Linked DNA regions of Sus scrofa. The protein of the gene in region 3 binds, or shares a complex with, the protein of the main gene of each other region. Links are inferred from orthologs where the notes say so. Each region holds a gene or a part of one and is shown on either strand. Other genes may lie near its edges.

Evidence for each region.
Region 1: EFTUD2 (region 3) and SCNM1 share a complex: the UniProt entries of both Homo sapiens proteins name them as parts of the minor spliceosome. The link is inferred for Sus scrofa from reciprocal best matches to the Homo sapiens genes EFTUD2 and SCNM1.
Region 2: EFTUD2 (region 3) and CRIPT share a complex: the UniProt entries of both Homo sapiens proteins name them as parts of the minor spliceosome. The link is inferred for Sus scrofa from reciprocal best matches to the Homo sapiens genes EFTUD2 and CRIPT.

What each region holds. Positions count from the first base shown.
Region 1 is NC_010446.5:98,077,556-98,085,298, reverse strand, and holds SCNM1 (sodium channel modifier 1), read left to right. Parts: upstream 1-2,924; 5' UTR 2,925-3,043; coding exon 3,044-3,094; intron 3,095-3,361; coding exon 3,362-3,432; intron 3,433-3,672; coding exon 3,673-3,761; intron 3,762-3,858; coding exon 3,859-3,956; intron 3,957-4,064; coding exon 4,065-4,153; intron 4,154-4,817; coding exon 4,818-5,012; intron 5,013-5,260; coding exon 5,261-5,360; 3' UTR 5,361-5,455; downstream 5,456-7,743. Other genes in the region: LYSMD1 (lysM and putative peptidoglycan-binding domain-containing protein 1), read right to left, coding at 1,973-2,152; TMOD4 (tropomodulin-4), read right to left, coding at 6,054-6,076, 6,458-6,602, 6,861-7,004, 7,391-7,498, 7,601-7,731. UniProt on the Homo sapiens protein: As a component of the minor spliceosome, involved in the splicing of U12-type introns in pre-mRNAs. Plays a role in the regulation of primary cilia length and Hedgehog signaling.
Region 2 is NC_010445.4:93,921,098-93,928,856, reverse strand, and holds the start of CRIPT (cysteine-rich PDZ-binding protein), read left to right. Parts: upstream 1-2,940; 5' UTR 2,941-3,074; coding exon 3,075-3,090; intron 3,091-5,014; coding exon 5,015-5,080; intron 5,081-6,053; coding exon 6,054-6,108; intron 6,109-7,759. Other genes in the region: PIGF (phosphatidylinositol-glycan biosynthesis class F protein), read right to left, coding at 472-699. UniProt on the Homo sapiens protein: As a component of the minor spliceosome, involved in the splicing of U12-type introns in pre-mRNAs. Involved in the cytoskeletal anchoring of DLG4 in excitatory synapses.
Region 3 is NC_010454.4:18,471,200-18,478,913, forward strand, and holds the start of EFTUD2 (116 kDa U5 small nuclear ribonucleoprotein component), read left to right. Parts: upstream 1-3,167; 5' UTR 3,168-3,449; intron 3,450-6,652; 5' UTR 6,653-6,656; coding exon 6,657-6,761; intron 6,762-7,714. Other genes in the region: CCDC103 (coiled-coil domain-containing protein 103), read right to left, coding at 250-382, 764-915, 3,015-3,041. UniProt on the Homo sapiens protein: Required for pre-mRNA splicing as component of the spliceosome, including pre-catalytic, catalytic and post-catalytic spliceosomal complexes. Component of the U5 snRNP and the U4/U6-U5 tri-snRNP complex, a building block of the spliceosome.

The sequences.
Region 1 (7,743 bases), on a different chromosome or scaffold from region 3:
TACAGCTCTGATTAGACCCCTAGCCTGGGAACCTCCATATGCCGCGGGAGCAGCCCAAAGAAATAGCAAAAAAAGATTAAAAAAAAAAAAAAAGAAATAAAATTGAAAAGAAATCATTCTGGCCCTTAAAAAAAGTATACAAGCTATTGGAAAGACAAAAACGTAAAAGGTGTAAACCACTGGATTACATAGGTTTATAGAGAGGAGCAAGAGAAGGGAATGCCTGTCTTTCAAGGCCCATTGTGATGACTCCCTTAAAATCTGCACTGTCCCCTTTGAGATAAAAATTAATCTTTCCTGGGAGTTCCCATCGAGGTGCAGTGGAAACAAATCCGACTAGGAACCATGAGGCTCAGATCTGGCATTGCTGTGGCTATGGTGAAGGCCGGGAGCCACAGCTCTGATTAGACCCCTAGCCTGGGAACCTCCACATGCCGTGGGGTATGGCCCTAAAAAGACAAAAAAAAAAAAAAAAAAAAATTAATCTTTCCTGATTTCCCACTCTTTGTTAACCCCTCTACAAACTCACCATATTCTGTCACCTACAATCATTATTTGTGTCCCTGTCCATTTCTCACTAGACTGTAAACTACATGAGGGCAGCAACTCTACATTTTATTTATGGTTCCATCTCCCAAGATGGTTACCACAGTGGTTTGAACATACCAAGCACAAAAACTGTGTGGCTACAGAAATATGGAAGAAAAACCCTCATCAACTTTTTTTTTTGGCCAAGGTGTGCAGCAACTTGATGTACCATCTCAGTTCCCAGACCAAGGATTGAACTTAGCCATAAATTTCATCATCTTTGGTGGTGAAAGCACCAAGTCCTAACCATTAGATCAACAGGGAACTCCTACCTTATCAACTTTAAAGCAATGTATTTTTACACCTACTAAATATACCCTGTCCATGACCTGAAATACTTGGCATAGGGAGTACCTATTTTGTGGGGGTTTTTTTGTTTGTTTGTTTGTTTTTTTTTTTGGTCTTTTGTGTTTCTAGGGCCGCACCTGCGGCATACGGAGGTTCCCAGGCTAGGGGTCTAATCGGAGCTGTAGCCACCGGCCTACGCCAGAGCCACAGCAATGCAGGATCTGAGCCGCATCTGCGACCTACACCACAGCTCACGACAAGCCAGATCCTTAACCCACTGAGCAAGGCCAGGGATGGAACCCGCAAACTCATAGTTCCTAGTTGGATTCGTTAACCACTGAGCCACGACAGGAACTCTGGGAGTACCTATTTTGTACCAACAAGGCTACCTTTCTGAAAAGGAGGCAGAGCACTGAAGAGGAAAAAAGAACAAGAGACAGGCACTTAAGGAACTTAGAACTAAAAACCAGCTCTTCATTATTTCCCATAAATGTTTCAACATTCTCATTTAAAACATTTCTATGTGGTTAATTGTAGGGGCTTTGGAGTTCCCTGGTGGCTCAGTGGGTTGAGGGTCTGGTGGCATCACTGCTGTGTCTCTGTTGTGGTGAGGGTTCAATACCTAGCCCAGGAACTTCCTGGCCAATCCCTGGCCAAAACAAAATAAAACAAAAGGGTATGGGCTTTGGAGTAAGATAGATTTGTTTGAATATTCACTCCAGCACTTACTAGTTATTTGACCTTGGTCAAATTGGTTAACCAATCTAAGTCTCAGTTTCTTCACCTATAAAAAGGGTATAATAATTGTATGCTTGATAGGGATGTGACGATCAGATGCGCTAATGGATGTAAAGTCTTTAGTATAGTGACTGGTATAATAAATAAGAGCTGCTCACCTCCACCGGGATATTGAGACAGGATTTGTCTCAACCAGACAGTGCAACACGAGATGGGACCCTTGTCAATTAATTTATCACAATTAACTAATTTAGACACAATTAGGAAAATTTCAGGTGAAGTTGCCCAGAGGGCCACTATATCCTCATGAGGAATAAATCTTTTCTGAGTGTCTGCGTCCCAATCCTGGAAGACTCACCGTCACCCCGTATTTGAGTGCTAGTCCAGCCAGGGTGTCTCCGGGCGCCAACTGATGCTCCAGGCGTCTTTCCCTCACCGGGGAGCAGGCAGACTGCACAAGGCTTCCATAAGAACGAGCCCGGCTCCCTTGAAGCAGTCCTGACCCCCCGAGGGGGGCCTGTCTAGAGGGAGAGGCCATCTCCTCACCCTGCGGACAACTGGAGTTGCAACTGCGGGAGGCCCGGCCAAGTGACCGATAGTGACAGGCCCGGGGTCTGGGAATGAAAATCTGGAGGATTCCTTTCCCTTTCTGTGTTCTCTCCTAAGTCTCTCCGCCTTCCCCCCACTAGGCGACCTCTGACTCCTGGCTTCCCCGCCTTCCAAGGCCTTTTCCCACAAACCTGTAACCTGACTGTTCAGTCCCTACCTGAGTTTCTCCTTAGTACCCCTCCGACTTTCGATCCCCCACAACTCGCGACATTGACCTCTGACCTTTGACCACTAGACACCCTCCTCTACACTACAGAGTTTGCCCCCAGGTCGGTCCGCCAGACCTCCCAGCCCCCAACCCCGATTCCGCGCGTCCCGGGCTTGGTCGCTAGGGTCGGGAACTAATCAGGCCCACTCCAGGTGGGCTGTGGCCTCAGGCGAAGGGCGTGATGACCGCGAGAATCTGTAGCACACTTTCCCCTGAGAGATCCTCAAAGGTACGCTCCGCATCAAATCAGTCACACTCTCAAACTCGGGATCCACAGCTAGGTTCCTCTTTCTCCAAACGCCTCTAATCTGCCAAGATGCAAGGGCCTGAATCGGGCAGGGCGGCAAGCTCTTTGAAAAAAGACTTCATTTCCCAAAAGGCTCCGCGCCGGCGGGGTCGCAGAGCACCATAGGAAATGCAGTCCCCTCTATGGGCTAGAGGCGGGTTTTCGGGATCGCGCGGCGCATGCGTGGAAGCGCATCCCGGAAGTAAGGGGGCCAACCGGAAAGAGACAGGAAAGAAAGGAGACGTCCCACTCTTGCTACGGTGGCCTGAAAGGAGTGGCGAACGCGGCGCGATAAAACTTATATTTCTGGGGCTCTCACAGTCGTGATGTCTTTCAAGAGGGAAGGGGACGATTGGAGTCAACTCAATGTGCTCAAAGTAAGCGCGAGAGGAGAGCATCTGGAGCAGCTTCAGTTGCCGTCTGAAGGCTGTGAGGGAGCTGTTTTGTTGCTGTGGCAACAACTCGGGGGAGGGGGGCGGAGGAAGCCAGACGATTGGAACTGGGCCGACACCCCTTCTTCAGCCCAGATCTCTACCCTTCTTGTGGCCTTTATTCCCTTTGAGTCCTCGTCCTTGTCATTTCCTTTTTGTTCCTCCCTCATATCCAGCTGACCCCGTCCTCATTTCTTCCCTTGTTCCCTGCAGAAACGGAGAGTCGGGGACCTGCTGGCGAGTTACATCCCAGAGGATGAGGCGTTGATGCTACGGGATGGACGGTGAGGACTAGGAGTGGATCAAGCCTGGGGGTTCTGCGGTTAGAGGCTCAACAAACTTTTGTTATTAAGCAGATTGGAAAGAACAAGGAATCTTTGGCGGGGAGTGAGTAACAGGGATGTTGGTGGTGGAGACTGGGAGACTTGGGATTTGGGCTTTGGAAAGGAGTTCTAGGCTGTGGTGGAACCTATGGCAGAGACTCCACTCCCCAGGAACCAATTATCTTCTCTCCTCCTCTCTAGCTTTGCTTGTGCCATCTGTCCTCACCGACCGGTACTGGACACCCTGGCCATGTTGACTGCCCACCGTGCAGGCAAGAAACATCTGTCCAGTAAGTTTGTGGGAAGACAGAGCATAGAGAATAAACCCTTAAAGGGTTTATTCACTCTGGGTGCCCTCCTTTTAATTCTCTTTCCCTTTCTCCTGAGGCCTGCAGCTTTTCTATGGCAAGAAGCACCCAGGAAAGGGCCTGGAGCCAAATCCAAGACAACAGAATGAATTGAGGAGAGAAGAGACCAAAGCAGAGGTAATCAGAGAGGGGAGGGTGTGTTCCAGGCTGCACACCTTAGGCTTGAAGGCTCTGGATTCTTTCTAGCTCTGAAGGTTCTGACTTTGTCTCCCATCTCCATGCCAGGCTCCTCTGTTAACCCAGACTCGACTTATTACCCAGAGTGCTCTGCACAGAGCTCCTCACTATAACAGTTGCTGCCGCCGAAAGAACAGGTCTGTGGGGTGGGTAATCCAGAAGTAGGGAGGAACAGGAGATCGATCGCTCTAAAGTACTGTTTTCCAAATTGGATTCTGAGGAATACTAGTGTTCTGGAAATGCTAACTTGAATTTCAGGAAAAAAGAATTTTGTTTGGGAAATAGGATTTTGTAATCCTGTTTGACGCATAGTAATATTACGAGTTCCCATCATGGCTCAGCGGTGAACAAACCCGACCAGCATCCATGAAGATGAGGGTTTGATCCCTGGCCTTGCTTGGTGGGTTAAGGATCCAGTGTTGCTGTGAGCTGTGGTGTAGGTTGCAGACACAGCTCGGATCCCATGTTACTGTGGCTGTGGTAAGGGCTGGCAGCTGTAGCTTGCATTCACCCCTAGCCTGGGAGCCTCCATATGCCACAGTGCAGCGCTAAAAAGACCAAAAAAAAGAATAGTAACAGTATATTTTCAGGGTTCTACACAGTCTTAAAAAAAAAAAAGCTGAAAAAACTAACTTAGGCTTTCCTTAAGTTCATTTGATTCCAAAATCCTTTTTATGCAGAACACCTGTTAATATCTTGAGGAATACAGTTTAGGAAGCACTGCTTTAAGGGGTTGGGAGTTACAGGAGATTTGGTCCTTTCCTTTACTGCTTTTACAGACTTTGATTCTTCTCTACCCAGACCAGAAGCCCCTCGTCCCTCTGTCTCTCGTTCCGCTTTTTCACCCCCAGAGGTTGAATCCCAAAGTGAGAGGATCAGTAGGGAACTTGAGCCTGCGGCTGCATCACAAACCAAGGAATCAGCCACTGTCTCATCCCCTGCACCTATGAGCCCCACAAGAAGACGGGCTCTGGATCATTATCTCACCCTTCGAAGGTGAGTGTACGGAATCACTTTCCTCAGATTGTCCCTTTTCTCTCTGGCTCTCCTTTTTTCAAACCTCAAATATTACTTATCCCTACTAGCTTTTGGGGGGGGCGGGAGGCCATGCCCACAGCATGCAGAAGTGTGCCACAGCAGTGACAATGCAGATCTATAAACTACCGAGCTACCAGGGAACTCCGCTACTAAATTCTTAACACATTTCCTTTCCTGATCGATTCTGTTTGTTCTGATATTTCCAGTTCTGGATGGATCCCAGATGGACAAGGTCGATGGATAAAAGATGAGAATGTTGAGTTTGATTCTGATGAAGAGGAACCCCCTGATCTCCCCTTGGACTGACACTCTTTCCCCATTCAGTTCACAAATAAACTATAGTGGGCGCTGGGAGCCTGACTTTCCTTGAGTCTGGTTCCTTGTCTCATTTCAGGATTTCAGGTCTGTTCGTTCTCAGCCTGGCCAATATTTCCCTGCAATGTACACAGCTCCCCATACTTCTAGCCCCTCCCCCCACTTCTACCAAAGTCATGCCAAGCGTCAGCTGCATGCAGCCCGGTGCCCTAAAATAAGTCTGTCAGAAGGAGGTCTTTGCCCTTCATGTTGTCTGACTTCTTCCCCACCTCCACTCAGAGTCTTTTCCTCCTTCAAATGACATGAAGTTTTTGGGTAGGCACTGGGTGGGGTGGGGGTGGGAGCTGGACAGGTCTGGAAACAGGGCCAGGGCTTAGCCACCCTGTGAGAGCAGAAGGGACTGAAGGCATTGGCCAGGTTATGGGGGACACCAAGGGAGAGAGCTCCCCCCACCTCCTCCTGGTAACTTGACCCTCCCTGCCTGCTGATCCCTAGAGTATAAATAATCCCCTGATGAACTGGCAGTAACCCTGAGGGGTTAGCGCCAAGATTTCCACCCCAAAGCCCAAGGAAGGAGGCAGGCAGAGTGGACAGAGGGCCTTTATTTACAGGAAAGGGGGATAGATGAGGATTTAATTTAAGCATTCAGGGCTCCGGGCTCCAGTTGATAAAGGGAGGGTACTGTTATCTCTTCTTTTGCTGGCGACCTATAAAGGAAGAAGAGTCAATGCAAGTCATTATTCCATCTCTTGCTTCCTGCAGAGGTGCTCTTCTCCTTTCCAGTTCCTTGGCCAGACTCATAAAGAGGTCATGTCTTAGGCCAACAAGCATGCCCACCTTGCATTAACAAAATAAGAAACGACAGGGCACACAAAATACCACGCCTCCTAACAGGTATGTCTCGTTTCCCTTCCACCTCTCTGCTGGTGTATATTAGGGCAGAGGGGCTTTTCTGTATACTTTCTAATCACTTCTCGGTGTGAAGAAGTTCAGGTTCTTAGTCACTAAGCCAGCTTTCAGGAGGATCTACCAGCTTCCGCACCTACCTGGCCTCCCCGCAGCCCGACACCATGTCTGCAGTTACTCACGTAATTCATTGTTCCGTGTCATGGCCTGGGCCGCCCGAGCTCGTGGCCCCTGCTGTGTAAAGTGGTAGCCAAAGCGGACAATGGAGGGACACTGTTCGAGCACAGTGGCCATTTCCATCTCCACTGCATCTCCAGGCCACTGGCGCTGGGGGAGGGAGAGGTGGAAGCTGTCAGCCACCCTCTCTGGGCTGTTCATAGTCCCAGCCTCCTGACCCTTTGGGAGGTCTAAGAAGCTTGTTTCTCAAGAGTGGGGGATGAGAGGAACTGCCTTGGCTCCCCACATAGGGACAAAGAAGAGGAGAATTCAAACAAGATTAGATGAGGTCCTACCCCGGTGGCTCCTTAGGGAGGAGGCTCAGTGAGTAGTGGCTGACTGCAAAGACCAGGGCAAGGGCATGCTGACCTGGTTGTCTACGCGGAGCTCAGTGAGTGTGGCATTCTCCCGAACTGCCTTCAGCACAGCCATGAGCCCTGTGCTGCTGATGAAGTTGGATTCAATGTTCAGACTCTGGAGGCTACGATTCTCTCGCAACATGTCAGCCACCGCCTGGGGAGTGGGGATTTAGGTTAGGATTAGGAGACAGTTTCACAGATGATTGAAGGGAGGGGAAAAAAACAGGAGCAAGAGGGAAACACAGCTCTTTGAAATGAGTCCTTAAGGTGTAGGTGGGGCTCAAGGAAGGCGGAAATGAGGAGGGTAGGAGAGGAAAACAGGGAGATGACGTGTGCAGTGGAGTTGGTGGTAGAGGGGGTTGTGGCTCTTTCAGAAGATGATCTGATGATTTCGGAGCTGTGAGTCATAGGACTGAAGTTGGGCGTCTCCAGCAGGGCTCCCCTAAGAGAGCATGATGGGAATAGCACCCACAGCATAACCCCAGCCAGGGGTACATGTCAAGGTACAGGGAGAGGGCTAGGGGTGTCAGCTAGCCTTACATGGGCAATGGGGTCACCGCTCCTTGTGGCCACCAGACTGAAGCTCCGGACATGGGTATTCGTCTTCATTGCCTCACACAGTTCAGTTAGCATGGGTATCGGGATGTCCTGTCAAGGGGGGATTGGAGATGATGGGCTTGGGGACCCACCTACGTCAGCAGTTAGGATAACTGGGACAGTGTTATTCCTTAGAGGGTGGGGGTCAGATACCTGGATATTATTGAGGTTCACCTCCTCCAACTCCTTGTCATTGCTTCGAACACTCTTCAGTATCTCCTCGATGTTTGTGGGATTTGGGGGCTCATCTGGCACCGGCTTATACTTATCAGGCTGCACCACACCTGGTGGGTGAG
Region 2 (7,759 bases), on a different chromosome or scaffold from region 3:
TCAAGTGTTAACACTGTAGTGAATATTCCAGAAAATAGATTCCAATATCTGAAAATTTTTATTACTATTTAGTCAAGGAAGGCCATGTTTGAAACAAGAGCTTCCAAAGAGGCTTACTTTGTAATTTCTGAAAAATCCACTCTGTCTTTCAGAAATGCAAAAAATGAACGAAAATAAACTGAAATGTCTTACAAGGTTTAAATAAATACATGTATTTATATTCAATAGTGACATAAAACATGACTATATAGGTTCACGATGCAATGATATCTATTTACTGCATGGCAAGAATCTATCAAACATTGTGGGCAGTCTTCCAGCAAGCAATAGGCTACTGATTTTTTGGGAAAAAAAAATCAGTTTCTTTATTCACTGTAAATAACCCACTAAGTACTTAAATAATACTTTATTCTTCCAGTAAAAGAAATATAACCTACATCTAAATATCAGTTATCAAGAAATAAGCCTTACCTTGTATGATAATGAACTTCTTTTAGATGATGTATTTGATTTCACTACTAAATATAATATTAAATTGACAGCAGTTACGAAAACAGAACAGATGCACAACCATGTCAAGTGCGTTTCCAATATTGAGAAGTTCTCCAAGAAGAATGATGGAATGAAGATGCTTAGGATAATTGAAAATATGCATAAAAGATGGGCATACAGCAGTCTCTTGATGTCAGTATCTTTCATGGTGTTTCCTTGAGTGGCTATCTAATGAAAAACAAATTAAGAAAAGAGCATAGGCAATAATGACTTTTACCATTGCCCTAAATGTTCCAATGTCTAAAAATAAGCCATGAACCAAAGTCAATTTTCTGTGGGCAATAATGTCTTGTGTTAGAATATAGGAAGATGCACATGTGTAAACGCACGTAGAGTAAAATGGTACAAACAGCTCTCAGAACCTAAAAAAGGACAAATTTACTAATTTCTTAAGTATTTGTGTCTAGTTTCTGCAAAAAAAAAAAAAACGGTCATGTGCTAGGACTAATTAAGGAATTTTTTTTTTTTTTTTTTGGCTTTGTCTTTTGTCTTTTTAGGGCTGCACCCACAGCATATGGAGGTTCCCAGGCTAAGGGTCTAATGGGAGCCATAGCTGCCAGCCTATGCCAGAGCCACAACAATGCCAGATCTGAGCCGTGTGTGCAACCTACACCACAGCTCATGGCAACGCCAGATGCTTAACCCACCGAGTGAGGCCAGGGATCAAACCTGTGTCCTCATGGTTCCTAGTCAGATTCGTTTTCGATGCGCCAAGACGGGAACTCCGGAATTCTTTTCTTTTTTTTTTTTAATTCCTTTTTTTTTGCCAAAATCAGAGGTGAAAACAAACTGCCTGGGTTAATGATTGGATCCTTTGGAAATACAAGATACGTGTTCTAGAAACCCCATAGTATACTTTGGCTGAATTGTTGGCATTCTTTTTTAATCACTGTGTTCCATTGTCTATCAACACAGTTGTTCACATTTTCTAGCAAATACCAAGAAACAGCAGGTGCACACTGAAATACACAAATGGTGGTCAATGTCATCAAGAGCGTTCAAAAAACATCATGCTAAACTAAGGGATCTCAGCGCCCCAAAATACCAAAATGGCAATGTCAGACGCTAGATTCCAATGAAAAGAAGAGCTTCATGAAAAGGGAAAAAAAATTTTACTTTCTCTCTCTCCCATCTCTATATATCTATTTTATGTATGCATGTATTTACAAATTATCTAACAGAGAGCTTATATGTAGTATTGACTAATGTTAAGTAAGGAGTCCACGTGTCACACTGTGGTGACTAGTCCAGAATAAAACCCCATATATATACACACACATATATGTGTACGTGTGCGTATATATAAAAGGGTAAAAGGGCAAATCCAGGCCTTATCCTAACACTCTCATTTATTCACACTATATTTTTCAAAAGAAAATACATTACTGATAAGGAAAAAGACTAGCAGAGATTAGTAAACATTGCAAGCTACCAAGGTCCCAAGTGCTAAAGCCATTTCAAACCCTAGCTAACCTTTTTGATGATATAGATATATACTAGGAGGTATGAATGGCAAGAAAGGAGAAAGGAAATCTTTCTCACCGGTCCTATCTTCTTCTGGGCCACCCTCAAAATCCCAATTGACAGGAGCAGATTTGTACATAAGACAGTGAGCAATACACAAACTTAATGCTGCGTGAATGAGTGAATGAACGAAGAGTAGGTGCAGAGTTGCCCTTCCTGAGAAACCAGCCTTATATTAGGCCTTGGAGAGCTCAGGAGGACTTCCGCCAGGTGCCCCCTGGGGCAGCTATTGCCCAGGTGCCCGTGGTCTGACCTGGCCCAGATCCTCAAGCCTTGCAGCGGAAGAGAGGGCCATTCTGAAAGGCTCCTGGAGGCGCCTTCGCGGGAATCGTGGGACCGTAATCTCCAGCCCCATCCCAAACTGGGTCGCTGCGGACTCTGCCCAAGCCCCAGCCGACTGTGGGCAGAAAGGGACAAGCTGAGAAGCATAATCAAAGAGCACAGGCGTAAAGACCAAGAGAAACGGCGGGACAAACACAGAAAGTCGGAACTGAAAAAGAGCCAGTTCATCGGGGCAGCCCCTGGGTCACGCCGGAAGGGCGGCGCTCGAGGGGCCCGCGGGCAAGGGCCTATTGGTAGCAGAGATTTCCGATCAGTTGGGCAATTGGCGGGGGTGGCTTGCAGCCGCTGGAGGCTCGTGCGCCGGGAGCGTCCGGCTGGGCTTACCTAACTCTCCCGCTCGCGGAAGAGAACGGGAGGGCTACTACCTCCCACCATCAGGTGCAACTCGCCGCCCTGAGTCTCGCGCAGGCGCAGGCCAGCAGGGCGGAGACCGAAGGCCTCACAACCAATCGCAGAAGTGGAGAGGTGGGCCAAGAAGGAAGCCCCGCCTTCCCGCTCTCCTTTATTCCTCCCGCGGCTTTCCAGGTGTAGAATAGGCGGGGCGGAGGATCCGGAAGTGGACTTTCATAACCCGGAAGGGGAGTGTTTTCTCAGCTGTGGTGTTGATGGTTTCCAGCTCCCGATCCTACTGCGACTGAGGGAATCGTCGCGAAAGGATGGTGTGCGAAAAATGTGAGTTAAGGAAACTCTTCTGCGGGAGAAGAAGGCTGGGACAACCTAACTGGAGTTCCCCGGGACTTTATTCCTTTGTTTTTACTTTGGCCACAAGTCTCTGATTCTAGCCTCTGTTCTGTCCTGCCCTTTGACCATTCCTGCCTCTCCATCGACCGTATAGTCCTCCGTTTGTTGCATTCAGGGTGGTCTCCTTGTCTGTTTTGCACCTCCTTGTCTGTTTCCATTGTTTTCGTTCAACCCCTGAGCTTCTTGACTGGCTCCCTCATTTCAGAGCTTCAGGTTGAAATGGATCTTAAAAGTCGCTTCCACAGCAACTGGAGTTGCTAGGTTTAGCAAATAAAAGTACTGGACGCCCAGTTAAATTTGAATTTCAGGTAAACCAAGAATAATTTTTAGTGTGCGTCCTATGCAATATTTGAGATTTGGCTCTGTTTGCTGCTCCTTACTGCTGTAAAGCAAGGCACTTACTTTTAGGACATTGTCTACTGAAAAAGTATTCATTGTTTATTTGAAATTTAAATCTAACTTTTGGCGCAGGGTTCCATACCTGGCCCAGGAACTTCCACATGCTGTGAGTGCTTAAATGGTCCTTGAACGAATACCCAGAGTATTGAGGAATGGTGGCCGGTGTGTAGGAGAATCTCACCACCTTGGAAGCAGTCCGTGTTGATTTTACTGGCTTTTAGAAAGGTCTTTCCTTCTTCTAGTTGCCGTCCAGTAATTCTAATACCACCCTCTGAGATTTGATATTTTTGCTCCCACAAACTGGTTGTGTATTTAAAAAGAGCAGTCTTATTCCCGTTTTCCTGAGTCTAAACATGTCCTCTTAATTTGATTATCGTCAGTTTGATTATCATCTAATTAACTTGATCCATTTCGTTTACCCCCCCCCCACAGTATATAAAGCCTTATAGCTTTGAACACAGAATTTGAATCACAGTTTTCAGATTAGGTGAAAGAATGACCATGACAGTTACTTTAATACATTCTCAAGGTGCAGAGAATAATTTGGGATTTCTGTATCTGGAGACTGGCATTCAGGATGACCCTCTACAATGAGGCCACATCTTACCTTTTTAACTTTATTTTCACTAACCCTTACCATCTTTACAGTTCAGCCAAGCCAAACTATTTTGCCTGACTGCATGTACCTCGAGTTCTCCACGCCTTTTATCAGGATGTGTCCTTTATCCAGTTTACCTTCATCCTCCTTTCTCCTTTTTCTTCATGGTCTCATTACCACAAACCCTCTCTACTGCCTTCTTCACAAAGCTTTCCTGGATTTCCCTAGTCAAGGTTATTTCTTCCTCCATGGAATGTATCTTAGTACTTCAGCTCTTAACATACTGTTTACTTTCAGTTGAATAATGCTAAACTTTTGTTGTTGTTCTCGGAGCCCTTTGAGAATGTGACAAAAGCTGTGGACTTAACAGAGTCTATTAAAAAAAAAATGGATATACAGAGGTTTGTGTTCAGTTTCATCTTGTTCATGTATTTCCTAAGGTCCACATGTGAAAACTCAGGTTAAGAACTGTTGTTAGAGATAAATCAGTATGATGTAAACTCCTTGAAATCTAGAGCCTTATCTAATTCATTTTATTTTTCTCTGTACTTTGTACAATGGTTTATATATCACTGATATTTAGTAAATGAACAGATTTATCAGATTTGTTTAAAGCATTAATGTACAGAAACAAGCCTATTATAGGCCATACTATTATCCACAGATTTGACTGAGAGTCAGTTATCCATGGCCCACAATTAGTATCATAAGTCTCAGTTCACTGGCCCCAAGCCTCAGCAATAACAGATTTGTATGTAATATGAATATTAATACCATTGTAAACTTAAGGCACAATGTAGTGTATTTATTAGATAGTAATGCTAACCCCCCCCCACTTTTGTTATCTTGTTATAACAGGTGAAAAGAAACTTGGTACTGTTATCACTCCAGATACATGGAAAGATGGTGCAAGGAATACCACAGGTATTTTTCCTTTTAGAACATAGAAATTAAATCAGATACTTCCTGTGAATAATGTTTTAGCTTTTACATTATTTGTAAAATGTTGTTAAGCATACAGCATATTTCATCTATTAAATATTAAAGAATACTGGACATTCCCCCCCACAACAATTTAATAACTTCATCTCCTTAGTTTTCTTAGTGACATGTCAGGGTTCCTAATTTGGTAGTCAGGAAATAGAGATAATTGAATGATTTTTAAGCAATGAGTATATCATAGTAACTGATTTGGTTCAGCCTAACTAGAGTTATTATTATTATTTTTTGTTTGTTTGTTTTTTGTCTTTTTGCCTTTTCTTGGGCTGCTCCAAGGCATGTGGAGGTTCCCAGTCTAGGGTCTAATCGCAGCTGTCGCTGTTGGCCTGTGCCAGAGCCACAGCAATATGGGATTCAAGCCGCATCTGCAAACCTACACCACAGCTCACAGCAACACCGGATCCTTGACCCACTGAGCGAGGCCAGGGATCGAACCCACAACCTCATGGTTCCTAGTCGGATTCGTTAACCACTGCGCCATGATGGGAACTCCTAGAGTTATTATTTAAATCCCCCTTTCCTCACCTGGTTTTTATATTCTTGAACAAATCATTTAAATGTTTTCACCTTCACAATCATTAATTACAGTGAAGATGTTTCTAAAGGGAAGAAAAAGAAACATTATCACTGTATTTAAGGTCAGTGGCACCAAAGTAGTGGCATCTAGATTTTGCATTAGATAGATTAAATATAGACCTGTTCCTAAAGTCCTGCTTTGAGTCTAAGAAATAAAATAATTGCCTTTTATCCAAATTTTTATTGTTTTATTGTTTTCCTAATAATAATTTTCTCCTTTTTAAGTAGCATTTTTAAAAGCCTTGTTAAGTGTTACTTGTTAAGTGCTATATGTGAAATGTGTAGAAATAACCCACTAAAATACATGTATATTTCAATGCAGAAAGTGGAGGAAGAAAGCTGAATGAAAATAAAGCTTTGACTTCAAAAAAAGCGAGGTGGGTATAAGAGCATCTATAGAGCAATCATATAAATTTCCACTCTTTTTAGTATCAAGTGTATTAGAATGAATTTGTTTTGTATCATTGTGTTATGATAAAACATGCAGTTAGGTAGTTGCTAGCATGCATAATCTATTATAACCTGCCAGTTTCATCCTGTTCTTCACTGTTTTAACTGTTATGTGAAGAAATTAGTGCTACTTCCTTTTTATTATTTCACCAGAAAGCATGACTTATTTTTTTTAGTTCCAAATTTTCCTGCAAACCAGAGGCAACAAAAAATGTGGACAGATCATAAGCTCTGGAGTCAGACCTAAATTTGAATCTTGACTTTGTTATTGTCTAGCTCTGTAACCTTAAGCAAGTTAAACCAGTTCCTTAACTTTTCTGAACATTACTTTTTCATCTAGGAATGGAGATAAAAATGTCTCCCACCATAAAAACAATTTTCGATGCCATACTTTATTATATCCAGTCTTAAAAATTCCATGAACCCTTCCAGGTGCCATCCCATTCCCTTGCTTCCTTTTACAACAGAAGTTTTCAAAAGCCTTATTTAGATAGTACTTTCTCATTGTCTTTAAATTCTATTTGCTCCTTCAACCACTCAAGTCAGGCCTGCATCTCCACCACACTCCTAAGCCTACTCTTGTCAAGATCACACATAACCTTTAAAACTGATGGCTACTTCTCTGTTCTTACCTTACTTGGCCTTTTTGCAACTCTATAGTCTCTTGGCATTGAGATACCACATTCTCCTTTCCTCTTAACTCACTGGCTGTTCCTTCTTAGTCAAGTGCCTCTGGACTCAATCCTAGACTTTTTTTTATTTGTAAATTTATAATTTCTCCTTAAATGACTTTAGTGCAGTGGCTTTAAATTCAAATTCTATGTTAATGACTTTCAAATGTGTATCTTCAGTCCTAAGTTTTCTGAACTCCAAACATTTATCTATTTGCCTACTTGACTTTTCCAGTCTAACAGGCAACACTTTTTTCCTTCAGTCTAATAATAGTCTTCTCATCATTGCTCCATGGTCTAGTTGTACAGACCTAAAAACTGGAATTTCTCATTTTTTCTTCATTTCCCTCTCTTCCCCATATCTACCAGAAAGTTCTTTGGCTCTACGACCCAAATCCACCTGCTTCTGTCCATCTCACTTCTAAACCACTATTATTAAGAAATACTGGATATTGTAATAACTTTATCTCTCTGCTTCTTCTCTGGTTGCCTGTATTTCATTCTCATACTAACCAGAGTGGCCCTTTAAAGGGCATGTAACTCCTTTGCTTAAAACCCTCCATTGGTTTTCTTTTTACATTGAGTAAAATCCTAGCCCCACCATGTTCTTACAGGGTCCTCCATGATCTGGCCCCTCCTACCTCTCTGACTTCCTATTGTGCCAACTCCTGCATCAGATATGCCAAGCCCACTCCCACTGGAAGAGGTTTGTGTTTATTGTTCCTCTTCCTAGAACTCACCCCTAAGAGCTTACATAGATGGCTCCTTTTTGTTTCTTGGGTCTCAGCTAAAATGTCACTTCTTCAGAGAAGGTCCCTAGGCAGTATCTAAACTATTATCTTCCTTCCTTCCCCTCATGTCTGCCACAGTATCCTCTTTGAATTTTTTCTCTAGAACAGGTATTACT
Region 3 (7,714 bases):
GCCTCTGTTGGCTTAATGAGATAAATGAGAAAAATGTATGTGTTGTAAGAAGATAGGATTCGAGTTCCCGCTGTGGCACAGTGGGTTAAAGGATCCGGTGTTGCTGCAGCTGTGGCATAGGTAGAAGCTGCAGCTTGGATTCTATGCCTGGCCAGGGAACTTCCATATGCCATGGGTGCTGCCAAAAAAAGAGAAAAAGAAGACAGGATTGGAGATTTAGGACAGAGGATAATGCTGGGACCCACCTACCGGAGAGATTTCAGTGGTGTCATCCTGGGAGGGCCTTCCCTGAACAGCGTGACAATTCCAGGGCACAGTCCTCTTCCCTCCTATCTTGTCCTTCCGCTCCAGTGGCTTTAGATGTGATGCAAGGACAATACCCCTGTGGGCAAAGGACGGAGATTAGGGGAAAGACCCAATGCTGCCTATAGGTGTGAGATGGCTGGATTTTCCATAATATAGGCTGTACCTGCTGGCAAGCCAACAACAGCAACAATAGCTGACAACCTTTGAGCACTTCCCAGATGCCAGACATTGTGCTCAGAATCTTCTATGCAATAATATTTAATCATAGCAATGGTTACTCTCTTTTACAGATGAGGAGTAGAGGCTCAGATTAGTAAAATAACTTCCACAAGATCACACAGGTAGTAGAGAGCAGGGCCAGGACGGAGCCCAGAATTGTCTGACTCCAAAGCACATGCTCTTACCTACTATTGTAAATCATTACAGGGGCGCCTGAGAAAAAGGGCATTAAGCCAACCTGAACTCCTCATAGGAAGCCACCCTCTGTTCCACTGCCCGTAACTTGGCAGCGTTCTCTCGTTTGTACTTCTCATCAGCGGTGAGGGCAGCCTGCAGCTCTTTCTCCAGAGCCTTAAAGTCAATAATGTCATTCCTTTCCATGGCCTGTGCCTGCGAAGGCAAAGGGAATGAGTGTCAGCTGAAGGTCAATATCAGGGGTGGGGGTAGGGGGTGTGCATCTGGATTCTTTGCCAGCCCACAAAATGACTCCAAAACACTTTGGATATTGTGTTACTTACCTTGGAGAGTGTGACAAAAGTCTAAAAATCTAGTTCTCTCTTTTACAGAGGGGCATTACATAGTGAGTTTTCGCTTAAGACTTGTCACTGAGAACAGTGTCTTGAATTTCAATTTAGTGCCCTGCCTTAATTTTGTTCTCTGCCTCTAAAAGTATTTTTTAATTGAAGTATAATTGACACACAATGTTATACGAGTTTCAGGTGTACAACATAGTGATTTGATATATACATTGTGAAATGATCACCATGATAAGTCTAATTACCACCTGTCATCATTCAAAGTTATTACAGGGAGTTCCCTGCTGACTCAGCAGGTTAAGGATCCAGCATTTTCACTGCTGTGGATTGAGTTGCTGCTGTGGTGCAGATCTGATCTCTGGCCCAGGAACTTCCGTATGCTTTGGGCTCACTCCCCCCAGAATTGTAATAACTTAATTACTTTTTTTGGGGGGGGGTGCAGAAGTTCCCAGGCCAGGCATTGAACTCACACCACTGCAGCAATTCGAGCCACAGCAGTGACAATGCCAGATCCTTAACCACTAGGCCTCCAGGGAACTCCCAACAATATTATTGACTATATTCCCTATTCTGTGTTATTACGTTCCTATGTCTTATTTTACTCCTGGAAGTTTGTGCCTCTTAACTGCCTTCATCTATTTCGCCTATCCCATTACTCCCCTCCCCTGCGGCAACCACCAGTTTGTTCTCTGTGTCTATAAATGTTTGTTTTGTTTGTTTGTTTGTTTGTTTTTTTAGACTTCACATATAAGTGAAATCATACGATATTTTTGTCCGACTTATAATTCCCTGTGGTATCCTATAATCCCTTAGCATAATGCCCTCTAAGTGTTGTTGCAAATGGCAATTTTTCATTCTTTTTTCTAATTTTTCATTTGTTTTTATTCTGTCTCTAAAAATATTTGGCTGAGGAGGCATTTATTTATTCAGAATTCAGCCCCTTCCTGCTTCCACATGGGTCATTCCATAGTGAGTTGTGATAAGAGCCTCTCACGCCAAAGCAGAACTATTATAACTGATTCCTTTTATACATATTTTTCCCCCTTCATTTGAACCATCTTTATTTGAATTCGATTTTTCTTTTTCTTTTCTTTCTTTTTTTTTTTTTTTTTTTTTTTTGTCTTTTTAGGGCTGCACCCACATCATATGGAGGTTCTCAGGCTAAGGGTCGAATAGGAGTTGTAGCCACCAGCCTATGCCACAGCCACAGCAATGCCAGATCCGAGCCACGTCTGCGACCTACACACAGCTCACAGCTCACAGGAAAGCGAGATCCTTTAACCCACCGAGCGAGGCCAGGGATCGAACCCGTGTCCTCATGAACGGTAGTCAGATTCGTTTCCGCTGAGCTAGATGGGAACTCCCTTATAAATGACTCTTAGGTCCAGGGATAAAATTGTACCCGTTGTTAAATGTCTTTAACAAGAAACATACTTTCAACCCAAACCAGATGCAATGGCTGAACAGGAAATCAATTAGATGTGGTAGAAGAGGGGACTCAATGATCCCCATTCCCAAATCCCTCTGTCCAGACCAGGGCTAGAGCACAGGTCCCTGGGTACTTGGGTAACCTCTTTAGTTCTGCCACTGTATTTCTGCAGCCTCCGCGTATCTGAGGCTGATTAACCCGTTCCGTAAGATCACCTATATGGGTTCTAATCTTGACTCTGGCATTTACTTGCTGTGAGACTCCTTTGAACCTCAAACTCCAAAGAATTTAGTGCTTTGAGCTAGATTAGGTGGTGAAGTCATCATCAACAGCCCTAGGGCAGGAAAGCAGATCAACAAGCCCGGAGCCCTCCCCCTCCACCCCAACACAGTAAGCGGAACACCAAGGAGGAGGCTGGGCTGGCCAGGAACTGAACTCAGGTGATCCGGTTCCTGTTCAATCCTGAGCCCTCCCCACTCACTGAGTAAGTACAATACCTAACCCTCCCGCCCCCTGAACTTCACCCCAGCAGCCCCGGCCTTGGTTTCCATTCTTTCTTTAGGAATCCCAAACCAAAACGGCTCGACGTAGACCACGCCCAGCAGCTGTGGTTGCCCAGCAACTGCTTCAACAGGCCCGCCCACGTGACCGGCTCGAAGGCCCCACGTCAGGGTAGCCCCGGGGCGCCTGATCAGATTCACTCTTCCCTCAGGCCTCGCTTTCTTTGGAGCAGTCTACGCCTCGGTTTGGGGACCCACAACTCTGCCCTGCAAGTTCCTGTATCCGCGGCCGGCATTCCTCCAAGCTGGTTCTCAGGCAGAGGGCTGTCCTCCGTGGCAGAAACGCGACCACTGCGTCTGCGGGGTCCTTCCGGACGGCGGGCGCAGGTGGTGCGGCGGCGTGGGGCGGAAGCAAGGCCTCAGGCGGCAGACTTGGTGTTTTTGGCCCAGCAACGGGAGGTGAGTTGGCCCTGGTCAAAGCGTGGCGAGGTCGCTGCGATGGGATGGGAAATTCAATAATGTCGTATCTGGAAGAAACGTTACATGCGGTTTTGCCACTTTTACTTTACAAATGGGTGAATTGAGGCGTGGAGCGGGAAAGGGAATGAACTCCCCGCAACACACACGGATTCCGGTTTTCCCTCAGTGTCATCTATTTATAAAACTCCTTCTCTGGTCGTTCTCTAACTGTTCATTCCCCTGTCTCACTCCCTCTTCCATCTGTGCCCTCTTCACCCCTTCTCTACCAAGCTCCCTTGGCCCTTGCTCTGTATTCCTTTGAGAAACTTGGACTGTAGCGGGAAGCTGCAGTGAAGTTTAGTACCGAAGCTCACTAGTTTTGTGCAACTGTGAGCAAGCCAACTATCTTTTCTTTGCTTGTTGGAGCCATTTATTTAGTCTTTCAACAAATACTTACTGAGGTTCTGTTTTGTGCTGGACACCTCTCTAAGTGAAAAAAACAAAAAACAAATCCAAAGTTTTTGCTTAAGCTGTATTTGGAGAGAAGACAGTAAATACATGAACAGATATGTGTCAGCTAATGGTAAACGTTAATAAAAACAATAAAACAGTGAAAGCGAGGATTGCAGAGTGTGTGTATGGGGAGCTTTTTTTTTTTTTTTTTTTTTTTTACAGTGACAAGGGAAGGGTTCTCAGAGGTGACATTTTAGTAGAGACAGTGAGATGAAGGAACAGCTATGCATGTCCAAGGGAAGGACATTTCAAAAGAGAATAGTAAGTGCAGTGGTCCTGAAGCAGAAATAAGGTCATTTCATAGGTGTTTTGGGAGAATGAAATGAGCAAGGATGTGATAGCTCTTTGGAGCTAAAAAGAACCTTTATGCATATGAAACTTTCTGTAATAATTTCGTTTAATTACTAGTGCTTGGAGTTCTTAATTCTTCATTTTATCCACAGTCAGCTCTCAGTAGGGGGCACGGAGGGAGGTGGAGGGATTAACCTCATGCAAGAAATATCAATATCTTAAAATTAAACATTTCATTCAGTTAACCTTTATCCAGTTCCTACTTATGTGAGGTGCTGTTTTGGGGATTGGTAGTGAGCACAAAGAACACGGAATTCCTATATTCAAGAATGGCCAGGAGTTCCCGTCATGGTGAAGTGGAAACAAATCCGAACAGGAACCATGAGGTTGCGGGTTCGATCCCTGGCCTCACCCAGTGGGTTAAGGATCCAGTGTTACTGTGAGCTGTGGTGTAGGTTGCAGATGTGGCTCGGGTCCTGCATTACTGTGACTGTGGTGTAGGCCGATGGCTACAGCTCTGATTAGACCCCTAACCTAGGAACCTCCATATGCTGTGGGTGCAGGCCTAAAAGGACAAAAGACAAAAAAATTAAAATTAAAAAAAAAATGGCCAAAAAACAATGCCAGCTGACATTTATTGTGCCTAGTCAAATGTGACAAATTCTTTACACAGACTATTTTATTTAACTCTCATAACCCCTAGTGCAATGAGGATTAATCGGTTCGTTTTTCCAAATGAGGACTCAAGCTTGGAGAGGTGACTAACTTACCTGAAGTGACATAGTTATTAAGTGACAGTTTGGATTCACATCTGGAGTCTTCCACCTCCGGAGCCCTGCCCATTAATCCATGCTTTGGTCTATTGTTTATTACTTGTAAGCTGTTGAGTTGTTAGAGTAATTGGTAAGTTAACTACCATTCAGGACAGAATTAAAGGCTGAGAAGGACACAAAAGAAGAAATAAGCAGTATAGGAGAATAAGAAATTGAGGCTGTAGGAAGGCTTGAAAGAGGTGGCATTTGAACTTTGAATAGAATCTCAATAATTGAAGTAGAGACAACCCCACAATACTTAGTAATTACAAAGAGAAAACAAGTAATTTTACAGTGGAAAGGCCTAGTAGACACCACTGCAATCAAGGGATTAAGTTAGCATTACCATCAATGGGACAAATCAAAATCATGTGCCACCTGATAGGAAATGCTCTTAACACAGCTTCATTTCTATGATGTTCCTGCCCACAATGCATAACCTAAATCTAATCATGCTGAAACATCAGACAAAGCCAAATTATGGGACGTTCTACAAACTCACTAGCCTATAATCTTCAAAAGTGTCCAATCACAGAAATCAAGGAAAGAGTGAGGAACTGTTCCAGACTGAAAGACACTAAAGGAGTTCCCTGGTGGTGCAGTGGGTTAAGGATCTGGCATTTGTCACTGCTGTGGTGTGGGTTCAATCCCTGGCCTGGGAACTTCTGCATACCACAGGCAAGGCCAAAAAAAGAAAAAAAGACAGACGCTAAAGACACGTCAGCTAAACACAAACATGGAATCTGGATTGGATCCTTTGCTGTCCAGGACTCTGTTGGAACAGTTTGTGAAGCTTGAATGGGGGCCTGAGGATTAGGTGGCAGTAATGTGTCAATATAAATTTTCTGATATTGGTGGTTATATCGTGGTTATGTAGGAGAATGTCCTTGTTTGTAGGAATCACACACACTAAAGCAAGGGTTAGGCAAACTTTTGCTGTTAAGGACCAGCTAGTAAATGTTTTAGGCTTTGTGGGCCATATGGTCTCAGTGACAGCTACTCAACTCTGCTGTTAGAGTGTGAGAGCAGCCACAGGCAATATAAAAGAATGAGCATGGCTGTGTTCCAGTGAAGCTGTTTTTATAGACCCAAGATGGGAATTTCATATAACTAATTTTTGTGTATCATGAAATATTGCTCTTTGGAATTTTTTTTCCAATCACTTAGAAATATGAAAAACATCTTACCTTTGGGGCTGTATAGAAACAGTTGGCAGGCCAGATTTGGCTGCAGGTTGTAGTTTGTCAGCTCCTGCCCTGAAGTTTTGGGCAGTGATGAGACATTGTGTCAGCAACTTATTCTCAAATAATTTAGGAAAAAGAAACTTGTGCTCTTTTTGTGACTTTCTGGTATCATTTTTAAATTATTTATTTAAATTTTTTTTAGTATTGAAAAAAAGAATTGGGAGAAAAGTGTGTAAAAAGGGCCAGTGAGTACAGAGAGGAGGTGAATGTGCAGGACTTGGGAAGAGGAGTCTGGTTGATGTCACTGCAGAGCAGATTTGTGTGACGGGATGTGGTCAACCGTCGGCTCGGGTGGAGGCCTTGATCACCTTGCCAGCATCTAACTTCTCTTTTTGAATTTTAGCATCATGGATACTGACTTATATGATGAGTTTGGGAATTATATTGGACCAGAGCTTGATTCTGATGAAGATGATGATGAATTGGGCAGAGAGACCAAAGACCTTGATGAGGTAAAACAAATAACTTTTTTCAGTTCTCTCTTTTTCAAAAAAGCAATAAAGTAAAAAAAAAAAAAAAAAAAAAAGCAATAAAGTAATGAATCCTCTGTGCTCACAGAATACCCTGTGTATAGCTCTAATGTTGCCCTTTTTATCGTTATTATGACTTACTCGGGTCTTACACCGCCCCCAAGAAAGCTTGGCTACTGAAGTTCCAAAGGAGAACATAAGGTAATCTCATTGGTAGGGTGATTTTATACTCTTGAGCTCTAGTTCATCTGGTAGTTGTCCTTTGTCCATTTGTTTGAAGTGCCTTTTGGCAGTCATGAATAATTCCAACTTATCTAAGGTAGTCAACTTTTTCAAATGCCACTGCCGTGGAAACTCCCTCATGAACTGGGGTTTTGAAAGATACATGGAAGCAATAGAAAAGGGAGGCATAGATTTCTATGACTCTTCTTAGGAGAGTTATGGGGGATGAAGTTCTGAATGGTCTGAGGCTTACAAAAGATGCCAAATAAGGCTTTCGTGTTTTAACAGTTTTTTAGAACAAGATGAGGAAGAAGTAGATAGGCCCACTGCTTATTAGTGGAGGCTTGATATTAATGAAACAGCAGGAAAGGAGGACAGAAGTCCTGGCTGCCGTTTGTCTTTTCCACCTGAGAAAATATCCTTCAAGCTAGAAAAAATAGAGTAGACACTGGAAAAAGAAAAGTGAAGCCATACAGGTGAGGTGAAAAGGGAGTAGCTGGTACCTTTATATGCGTTCCGATCTCTGGGCCAGATGAATTACATCGTGGGTGGGAGGGCGAGGGAGACCTTGCAGGGAGGTAAGCTGAGAACCACCGAGGTCATCTTTAAGCAAATGGGGAGTGGCCATGGTGGTAGATAGTGGTTCAGGCAACTCGTCCTACTTTTCAAAGGGGAGATAAGCCACTGCATTCTGCAGCCACAAACTGGTACAT